Linked DNA regions of Arabidopsis thaliana. The protein of the gene in region 3 interacts with the protein of the main gene of each other region in a pairwise test. Each region holds a gene or a part of one and is shown on either strand. Other genes may lie near its edges.

Evidence for each region.
Region 1: the proteins of AT4G23860 (region 3) and AT4G17810 interact in a two-hybrid assay, tested with the Arabidopsis thaliana proteins (one large-scale study listed by BioGRID).
Region 2: the proteins of AT4G23860 (region 3) and WLIM2b interact in a two-hybrid assay, tested with the Arabidopsis thaliana proteins (one large-scale study listed by BioGRID).

Annotation. Positions count from the first base shown.
Region 1 is NC_003075.7:9,905,076-9,908,594, forward strand, and holds AT4G17810 (C2H2 and C2HC zinc fingers superfamily protein), read left to right. Parts: upstream 1-1,745; 5' UTR 1,746-1,842; coding exon 1,843-2,457; 3' UTR 2,458-2,952; downstream 2,953-3,519.
Region 2 is NC_003074.8:20,701,251-20,705,007, reverse strand, and holds the start of WLIM2b (GATA type zinc finger transcription factor family protein), read right to left. Parts: upstream 1,787-3,757; 5' UTR 1,593-1,786; exon of another isoform or gene 1,499-1,592; 5' UTR 1,454-1,498; exon of another isoform or gene 1,418-1,453; intron 1,260-1,417; 5' UTR 1,210-1,259; coding exon 1,075-1,209; intron 924-1,074; coding exon 824-923; intron 726-823; coding exon 691-725; intron 598-690; coding exon 508-597; coding exon of another isoform or gene 448-507; exon of another isoform or gene 335-447; coding exon 233-334; exon of another isoform or gene 133-232; coding exon 1-132. Other genes in the region: AT3G55760 (uncharacterized protein), read right to left, coding at 2,122-2,497, 2,835-3,025, 3,104-3,747. UniProt on the Arabidopsis thaliana protein: Binds to actin filaments and promotes cross-linking into thick bundles. Has an actin-stabilizing activity. The actin regulatory activities are not regulated by pH and [Ca(2+)].
Region 3 is NC_003075.7:12,407,280-12,411,036, forward strand, and holds the start of AT4G23860 (PHD finger protein-like protein), read left to right. Parts: upstream 1-1,727; 5' UTR 1,728-1,886; intron 1,887-2,015; exon of another isoform or gene 2,016-2,018; 5' UTR 2,019-2,056; coding exon 2,057-2,140; intron 2,141-2,254; exon of another isoform or gene 2,255-2,504; coding exon 2,505-2,663; intron 2,664-2,762; coding exon 2,763-3,035; intron 3,036-3,122; coding exon 3,123-3,757. Other genes in the region: LACS4 (AMP-dependent synthetase and ligase family protein), read right to left, coding at 1-40, 158-247, 336-399, 830-984.

The DNA.
Region 1 (3,519 bases), 2.5 Mb from region 3:
ATATGATCAGGATTTTTTCTTTTCATCAAGTATCTGTTAAATAGATAAATATAGAGAAAGATGTGATGGGCGGCCAAAGGTCGTCGTCCGGGAGAAGCGGTCGTTTGATAGCTGCAAAAGGATTCTCTTTGCTCCCAAAAAGCTTCGCTGGCAAAACGTCATTGTTTGCTTCTCCCTTAATCTATCTTTCCTTTATTCTCAACTTCAATACAATAATATAGTTATATACATACAAACGTTTTGACCCAATGAGATATACAAGTACCAACATTGGTATATATGTTTAACTCGGAGATGCATATTATCGGGTTAAGCTTTTTTCAACATCGTTCGTCTAATGTTTGTGATGGATAAACTCGAAAAATTATATATGCTTATAATTAACTTATGATATTAAAATGACTGGAATTATTGAAACTTTTAACCCAATTTTAATTAGCACTTAAATTTGTACACTCATTGTCAATTAATTTTGGATTAAAATCATATAGTGTTCCTATAAACAAACATATTTTATCACTGATCATGATGAAGTTTTTTTCGCATTTTAAACAAAAATAAAATAAAAAGAGCGTTAAAAGGCCTAAATTACGTACTTGTCCAACGGCCCATTGAAAGCAAACGCAAGGATCCATAATGACCTTTATTTGGGCTGAGATTTATCATTGTACTGTAATTTGACTATTTTCCAAGGAAAATTAAGTCCCTTTTTATGTTTTTATTTATTTGAAAAACATGACAAAACAAATGCAATCCACATGGTCCAACGAAAGAGCGATCTAGTTGAAATCTAACTAAGTTCCCAACGAAACCACTGTTAATGTAACTTTACATGGCAAATATCTTTCGGATATCAAGGCCCATCACTTTCAGCTCTTCTGTTTTTCATTTTTTTCCCAAAATTTGTATTGTTTAATATTCCTAGATTTCAAATTGTAATAAAATTTTCATTTGGCATAAGAAAAAAAAATAATATCTTTTTCTACATAGAAAATAATATATATAATATGAGTTCATACACCATACATGTGTGTCTATATACATATATATAGTTTTGTAATGTATGTATATCTCGAATTGTAGCCATATGTAGGATGATTATCTAAAATATATGGTCATAATGTCACAGTGTAAAGCTACTCTAGTCATTTGTCAGATTCTAACAAGAGAATCTTAGTAATGATCACGCAAAGCTAAGATCTTTGCTTCACCATTTAAAGCAAACAAACTTTGTCTTAACCTTACATAGGACATCAAAGTCACAACCAACTTTTTCCTCTGTAAATCTTCACCTATTTATATAAAATGCACACTATTTTTTTATTTATAATTGGGCTTCCTATATTAATTAAATGCATAGCAATCTATGATTTAATGTCTTTTTGTAACAAAGTACCAACGAAGATAGAAGAACACACCTAAAAGTGTAGAGTTCTATAAAGACGTAAAGTTTATGTAAATTTCTGAAAGTAGCTAAATATATGTAAGTAATTAATAGAAAATGAGATTTCATTTTTACTTTTCTAACATATATAAGTTACTAAAATATGTTTGCACTGGATTTAATAGAAAGAAAGTATATTATATTTGCAAATTTTGAATTATACATGTGATAATCAAAATGTGTGTGCTCTTACACTCAGTAAAATTTATTATGGTAAAATTTCTTTCATTTACTGAAAATGATATTTTGAAGATAAGTGACCTATCTATGTATATATTTCGGGTCCATCTTTATATTTATTATTGAATTTACATCATTATCCACCAACCCCATCTTCTTCTTATTCTTCATCTTCTACTGAGATTTCTCTTTTTTTTTCAAAAAAAACTCATCCTTGAATGAACGGTGGTGCATGGATGTGGAACCCTAACAAAATTGAAGAATTGGAGGATGATGATGAATCTTGGGAAGTCAAAGCCTTTGAGCAAGACACTAAAGGCAACATCTCTGGTACCACTTGGCCTCCAAGATCTTACACTTGCAATTTCTGCCGCCGTGAGTTCCGTTCTGCTCAAGCCTTAGGCGGTCACATGAATGTCCACCGCCGTGACCGCGCCTCATCTAGGGCTCATCAAGGTTCCACCGTTGCGGCTGCGGCTAGAAGCGGCCACGGGGGGATGTTACTCAATTCTTGTGCTCCGCCGTTGCCTACAACGACACTTATAATACAATCCACGGCGAGTAACATTGAAGGTTTGTCCCATTTCTACCAACTGCAAAACCCTAGTGGCATTTTTGGTAATTCTGGTGACATGGTGAATCTTTATGGTACGACTTCGTTTCCTCCGAGCAACCTTCCGTTTTCAATGTTGAATTCTCCAGTAGAAGTTCCTCCTCGGCTTATTGAATATTCGACAGGAGATGATGAGAGCATTGGCTCGATGAAAGAAGCGACAGGAACATCAGTGGATGAGCTTGATCTTGAACTTCGGCTAGGGCACCATCCACCGTGACATTTCATTTTCATGACCCACTCGAGGCTTTCACATTAATATCTATTCATACACAGGTTCTTTAAATCTTAATTTACATGTTGTTGTTAAATTCTGAATTCAATTTGGCTTGAATTGTGTATCACAATTAAATTCATTCGATTTCATGCTTTGGTTCCTTGATTTCAGAGCGTAAGTTTACAAGTATATGTTTACTTAATTTGATTGGTTAGATCGAAATATATACAATGAACCCTGCATTATATGATTTGTATATACTTATATTAAATTTCATCTCAGAAATCCCATAGAACCCATATATGTATTGATTACTATTGCTTTTTATATATTCTGTCTTTATCATTACTTGGTTTAGTAATGATTTTCTTGAAAAGTAACAAGGCTCTTTGAATTCAAATTTCCGTTTGATGGAGAAAATTTACAATTAACGAACATTATCAGTAGTTTGTTTCAAATGCTCAAAACTTTCAAATTATTAAAAGCGTCTACACATTTAAAAAAAAAAAAAAAAACCATTCCTCAACAGAAGATAAGAAGCCAATATTTTTTTACATATTTCGTAGAAGGCAAATTTGTTCTTACTATTTCCATATGCTTTAGGGTTTTGGAGTATTGGAATGATGAAGAGATATGCGTTGAACTGAGTTTTAATTTATTCCATTCGTTTTATACTTCTATTACTCCATGTCATGTTAAGTAGTTTGTACATGCATTATTTTGATTTAGTTTCTGATTAAATATTTAACTATATATCTTTTTTGAACGATTTATGGATATCTTGTCATAATTAGTTTTCTAATGCTCAGGCGACTCAGAAGTATCATTCGTGACAGAGAATCTGGTTTTTCTTTTTCTAACTAAAGTTCTCTAATATATCTGATATTTAATGCCTTTTTTATCACGATGTAGGGGAGAAACTTGAATTAATCCTGGTCTTATCCCCGACTTTAGCTAAGAGATCAATTCAAAAACTTGATTGAATAAGTTCTTGTAAGTTTATGCATTTCACAAATAATATGTGATGTACGTTGCTTCTACAATAAGGGTGTAACTATATATCTC
Region 2 (3,757 bases), on a different chromosome or scaffold from region 3:
GAAGAGCTGAGCGAAATGGTGCTTGCAGTACAGGATTCCTTCAAGAGCTGCGTAGTTGGAAGGTGAAATTGGGCAACCTCCATGTGAGCACTTGAAGCAGGACTTGTGATATGTCTGGCTCTCGACTGTTACCTGCATATTTCAGAATCGAAAAAGACGGATATTTGTGACCAAATAGCTTTTAAAAATCCCATAAAGAGTTTTCATATTAAGTCTCCTTTATAGGTTTAACATGCAAATTAAAGTAACAAGAACCGATATCTCCAGGGTCTATGCATCTGTGCAAAACATTTGGTTTCCTTGCAAGTTCTCGGTAACTGAGGGGATTATGTATCTATCCTCAACATGAAATAGAAAACACAGGAGAATTCTTGCAAATGATGGAACTGTGTTTTAGAGTAATACTCCAACATAGACCTTAGAGTGCAGAAAGGTGATTCCAAAGCTTCAGTTAATGGAAAATGCATGAGTGAAGGAAGAGCAATGAAAGATTAAACGAGTTATAACCTTTTCAATAGGATACACAGTTTTACTACAAGTGGCGCATTTCTCTTGTGTACCAGAGAACCTGCCAGCAACTCGGCTAGGCGTCCTTGTCTGAAAACAAACCAAGAAGGAAATATAAGAGAAAAGTTCAATCAGAAAATGTATCCAAAGAGCATCTGACCAAACCAGAAAAGAAACATTTACCAGCTCAGGAGTTGATTTGTCAGCCGATTTTGCAGCTGTGAGGAAACAAAGTTGCAAGACTGATTAAATCAATAACCAAAAGAAGGGCAAGCGGAAAAAAAACATGAATCGAAGCAGAAACAAAACTACATACGTGACTGAAAGTTCTTGTTGAAACTACCACTCTCCTTAAAGAGCTGCTCAAAATGAGGCTTACAGTACAAAACACCTTCCATTGATGAGTAACTACTCAGCTGTAAAAAGACATTTACTTTATCAAGAGCTGCTTATGGTTACAATAGACATTCAATTCATCATTTAAGCAAGAAGATGGGTAATTCGTAAACTCATTCCTCTAATTAAAGCAGCATCGTTAACATGAATACAAAGATGAGAGAATCAGACCTGAAGCCTGCTTTTGCAGTGAGTGCATTTGAAGCAAGACTTGTGATATCCAACTCCATCAGCAGAGAGAAGCTCAACAGCATAAACAGTCTTCTCACAAGCCTTGCATTTCTGTTGAGTTCCTGTAAAAGACATCCTCAAAGCCTTGCCTTCACTTTTCTCACCTTCTTCTTCTTTTTCTCACCCTAAATTTCAAAAAACCCAGAAAAAATGGTATAAGAGGAAACCCCTTTGGAAAAATCTTTCCTTTTTCTAAATATTCGAATAACAAAATCGATCCATTGCTAATTGAAACAAGATTGTATCTATACGAAGCCGATCTAGATAGAATGAGATCGTAAACCTTGAGAAAGTTTATCACAAAGTACGGATCTAATACCTCTCCTTGAGCTAAACCCTGTCACGATCTGATCCTCAAAAGAAACTGCAAAAATACACGAATACAGATTAACCAGAGAAAGATTTGAGAGATGTAAGGATGCAAAAGTCAACTTCTTTGTAGAGAGAAGAGCTGTTACGTATATCTCTCCCCAATTAACGAAAAAGGAGGATCTATGTGACGATGATGAGGACGAAGTAGAAGAAGAAGATGATACAGCAAAGGAATAAGAATATCGGAGATTTTGGGTAAAATCCTTTTCTTTTTTTTAATCTTTGAGAAGACAGTGGGTGGGGTTCCACTTTGGCTTGTCCTCTGTATATTTTTTTTATTAGAATTTAATACAAATGTAACTGAAGATTATTATTGGTTACAGAAAATATTTGTCTTCTTATCTTTACCAAATAAAGAGTTTAGATTATCTGTTCATATAACTTTATGCTCCTGGAATGGAATGTGTTCCAGTTTTCTAATCAGATTTGTGTTATATTAGTAACTACCAAATAAACTTTGGCCATACTCATTAAGAAACACCAAAGCATAGAACAAATTAGAAGTCATAATAAATATTACATACATTGCACTTGATCAAACTACTCTAATATTGTAGGCCAATTCTTTGATTGTCCCAGCTTATTTATATATTTTATGCTTAGTATTTGATATATCTAGGACATATCAGAAGGCTTCTTAACGGCTCGGAGCTGAACAGAGTTGTCAAAACAGTGGAAGAAGCCAAAGTGAGGGAACTTCTCATACCAAGTTTCTTGTGGTACATGTGTGTCCCAGTGTTCACCGCTGCTGCTTTTTCCGTATTTGTGAACCCATCCTGATCCGTTGTGACCTTCTCCCCAGCTTCGGTTCCATCTGTCGCCGTGCTTCCCTTCCCACCAAGTCTCACCTTGTTTCACTCCTTGAGCGCTCGGGTTAAAGTTCTCGTCCCATTTGTCTCCCCATTTGTCCCAACCGTCACCTACCCACCGTTCCGCCCACTTGTCTGTGTACTTTGTGCTTCCGCCTTGCCCGTCATACTTCTCTCCCCACCTGGTCAAAACCAATCAAGACATATTTAGAAACACTCTACATTCCCTGTTATTTGGTCACAGCTTGTCTAGTGTCAGTTCTGTTTTGATAACAGTTCAACAAAGCTCGCAGACTAAGCTTCTAAATGTTAATAGAGCACCTTAAAGAGTATGAAAAGGCAATGTTTTGCTACTGAACTGATTTGATGTTCAACAATATAAGGTGTAAAAGTTAAAGGACAAACATTCTAACTTGTGTTAAAGAGATTGATTGATATTTTAAGGACTGAAAGTTAAAGGATAAAGATTCGATTATGTTATTAGTGTTTCGTTATGTGAAAAGAGGATTTTGAGAATACCTCTCGTGCCAGACATGAGCGTGGCCAGCGTCAAGAGGCGTGTTGCGGTCAATGCTGCACCACTTATGAGCCCATTTTTCTGATTTTCCGGTAGCATCGTAATGCTCCCACCATTTCTCTTGCCATTCATCACCTTGTCCACTCTTTCCCCATTTGTCTGCAGTTTTCTCCATATGCACAACACCATTCTCCTGTAATAGACAATTCAAATTAAGTCTCAAATAGTCTATAGTGCGTTAGATTTACTACGGCAACTACTTTACACTAACCTGGCTCATTGACTCTCTCCAGAACTCACGCCACACGTTTCCAGTGGCATCACGTCCTGATTTCTCAGAACCAAGTTCCTTGAACCCAAAATCATCAGAAGCCTCCCAATACTTATCTTGCCACTCAACAACACCATCAGCAGTAACCCCACGTATCATTGTCCACCTGCAAACCACACCATCAGGTCTTTTCTCCACACCCGTTTGCTTCCACCACTTCAATCCATCTTCGCTAACTCCATGCGTTGAAGATTCATCCAAACTATCAAGAACACGAGCTACTTCTTCCGCGTTTGCTGAAGATATGAGATCAAGGTCATGTTCTGTCGATAAAGTCTCGGAGCTAGGCTTCGTCTCAGCCTCTTTTCGAACCTCAATCAAAGACTCAAAAGGCGGGATAGTAAAGCTATGTCTTTCAGAAGAAAGCATACTCTCATATGGTATCGAAAGAGAATCCGCTGATTTATCTTTCTCCAATACAGGATTTGGCAAAGTTGGAAACTCAGCAGGCTTTTCCACAGCCTGCAAGTCCACAGAACTAATTTCACTACCTTGAGGAGGTGTCCATGACCAAAAATCTGGTCCTGGTGTCTCAGTCCCTGAAGTTTCTGACCGTGGCACATACACTGTTCTGCTCCACATTCCTAATAAAAT
Region 3 (3,757 bases):
ACTCAGGAGAATTTGCACCATAGATACCACATTTTGCTTCCTAATATCCCACATATCAGGAAACACAAGATTAAGCAAGGGAATAATCACATTGCGACAAAAAAAGGAAATAATGAGACTGAATATAGATATCTGAAAGGAAAAAGATGGATCTTACGTCCTTAACTCCAACACTTCTGAGAGAATTTCCAAGTTTCATGACAATGTCGTAGACTTCTTGGTATGTTTGCCAGACATACTTACCCGGCTAAGAACAATCAAAATAACAAGTGAATTTTATAATAACATGAAACGAAAATCACAAAATCAAAATCAATAACAAACAGTAACAACACCTTTCCATCTACAATCTCGCGGCGTCCCAGCATTGGATTGTTTGGATACTTCTCAACAGACATGCTGCAATAAACAATAACAGTAGAAAAATGTAAGTCAACAACCACAAAATATCACCAAACCACACACAAAGCAAAACAAAAAATGTCAACCAAATTCATGCAACTGTTAATTAATCACATGCCACTCAAAACGATGTTATTATAGACAAATGGCAAAATCATTAACCAACAAATTATATTTCTATCGATTAGAGCAACTTAGGTAGATCTTGCGATCCGAAAAACTTAAACAAACATGAATCAAATCCAGATAAACACTAGACGAAATTAAACTATACGATTCTTACTACTTGAGAATCCATAAAGAGCAAAAAACGCAAGTCAGAACAAATTCCATGATCAGTCAACAGATCAAGGATCAAAATCTCAGCAAGAATCGGAAACGAGGCTCATGCAACACAAACTCCGATCGGTTAAACGAGAAATCTCACCGGAAAACATCCCAACAACTATCCATTCCTTCGATCGGGTCGGGAAATCCGTCCTTGGCAAAGATACTCCGGTACACTGGACCAACTGATGGTCTTCCATCGCTACCTTCTTTGCCTTCTTCAACTTGGAAGATGTATTTCTTCTGCTGCGACATGATCTCTCTCTCTCTCTCTCTACTTCGTTCTCGTTCTCTTCTCTCTCTATCTGTAGAACGAGAAACTTCTGACGCGTTTTCTCAGATCGGAGAAGAAGTTAATAGAGACTTTCAACTACGACTGCGATTGGTTGCTACTCACTGACCATAAACCTGAAAAAGTCAAAGTCATATTCAACCTCTTATTGGGCCGTATACGTATCATCATATTAGGCCCAATAAAGTCATATTATCCAAATTGAAATTTATATTAGCCAATATTTAGATTTTATAATTAAGATGTCAAGAAACAAAACAAAAAGTGTGTGATTTTGATTTAAATAACTTTAGATTTTATCAATATTTTATCCCCCAATTTAATTTTTTTTTTAGAGGTTATCAATTAATCTACGATAATTAAAAATATGCTTATTACTCTATTAGTATGTGTGTTTGTGGATAGATTTGACTAGTTGCACACAGATATGATATTTGTTAAACATTAGTTATCAAAACAAAAAAATAAATATAAATTTTCAATTCATAAAAAACCATATAAGCAAGAATTTGAGATTTTGATATCCGTTTAATCTCGATACAAATTAATATTAACATGTACATTATCAAGTAACAATACTTATCTTGTGCTTATGCTTAGTTGCTGATAGTGGAGGGAAAAGGGTAATAGAATTGGAGGGTTAATGGCGGGAAAATGTCGATAAAGTCCCTTCCTTTATATAACATACATAAATTTTCTCGCATTTAAGAATTTTAACATCCGCTAGATCCTTCTTTCTTCCAAACCCTTAAGCTCCACCTTCGTTTTCCCCAATTTCTCTCTCTCTCTGCCTTCGTTTATCTATGTCTTGAAAAGTGAAAAGCTTTAGGGCTTTTACAAGTCTGAGAACTCCATCAATAACCTGGTAATGGTCCGATTGACATGTTTGATGTTTTGCGAATAATCTAGGGTTTCATTTTTTTTAAGGAATTTAGGGAATATCTCGTTTGAGTCTTTCGAATAGCTTTTATTTTACCCAATTTCATGTTTTTAGTAGTGAATTCAGGTGGGAATTTGTGAAGAATAATTGCGACAATGGCATCTGGTGTTTTCGAGGATGAAGCTGAAGGAACTATAACGATCAATGAATATATCGAAAGGCTTGACGCAGAAGAGCTGGTAATGTTCTCTTTCTCCTCTTGATCAGTTTTAAAGCTTATGTATGTTTCTGATCCTTACGAAAGTTTAATACTCTTCCACATTTTCACTCCTTGGTTGGTGATAAATCGTTTAGATTTAAGTGTAAACAAACGTCTTGAAATTGGATTCTGACCTTAAATTGACTACCTTTTCTGAAGCTAGTGGAGTGTGTTGGATTGTTATTGTACAGTCTCTGAGGTTTTGGCTAGCTAGTAATGATAGTGTGTGTCTCTTAATTAGTTTCTATTAATTTCAGTAGTGTGTATCTGTTTCTGTAATCCTATGTTATTTGGGTTTAGGGGTTTAATATTCATTAACTGCTTTTGTGATTCTTGATGTTAAGGCAGCGGATTTGGTGTTGGGTGGAGATGAAGGAGATGAGTGTACTTTCCCAAAGGGTTACATGAAAAGGCAAGCAATTTTCTCATGCATTACATGTACACCAGAGGGGAATGCTGGAATTTGCACTGCTTGTTGCTTATCTTGTCATGATGGCCATGAGGTAAATATGGTTGATATATAGCCAGGTTATGTATTTTGAAATCTGATTTCATAGTGTTAATTGGTTTCCTAATGGTTGAACATTGTTCTGGTTATGAAGCTTTTGGAGCTGTGGACTAAGAGAAATTTTCGATGTGATTGCGGGAACTCAAAGTTTGGAACTTTGGCTTGTAAGCTTCTCCCGAGCAAAGATATAGAAAACTCTGAAAATTCTTACAACCATAATTTCAAAGGCTTGTACTGCACTTGCGACCGACCTTACCCTGACCCAAATGTGGAAGAACAAGTAGAGATGATTCAGTGTTGTCTCTGTGAGGATTGGTTTCATGAGGAGCATCTCGGTCTCACACCTTCAGACAGTGTTGGTAGCCAGGTTTGTGGCCAGTGCTTAATCTTGTTGTTTACGATTGATTTTTTTTGTTGTTGGCGCTTAGTGCAATTTGTTATGTGATGTTAACAGATTCCAAGGGATGAGGAAAGTGAGCCGATCTATGAAGATTTCATTTGTCAAAACTGCTCCCCAGCATGTTCGTTTCTGACACTTTATCCTGAGAACTTGTGGGTTGTTGCTAAAGTAGATTCCACTGGTTCTGCTAATGCTTGTTCAGAGACAATTGAGTTAGACAAAAACCACATGGATTCTGAACCCGGCCAGCCAGAGAACGGTACTGATGCTGAGAAATCTGTTGTAGGAAAATGTTCTGAGACGATCAGTGACTCAGAACCTGGCCAGCCTGAGAACGGCACTGAAGCCGAGAAATCTGTTGTGCAAAAATGTTCTGAGAAGATCGATGAATCTGAAGCCGGCCAGCCTGAGAACAGTACTGAAGCCGAGAAATTCGTTGTGCGGAAATGTTCTGAGAAGATCGATGGCTCTGAAAATGTTCCTGCAGCTGGTTGTGTTATTAGGACTGATCTAAACTCGTGTCCTGAGTTTGAGAAGAAACCTTTGTTTTTGACCAAAAACTGGAGGAACATCCTATGCAGATGCGAAAAGTGCCTTGAGATGTATAAGCAGAGAAAGGTAAGCTATCTACTTGATGCAGAGGACACAATTGTTGAATACGAGAAGAAGGCGAAGGAAAAAAGAACAGA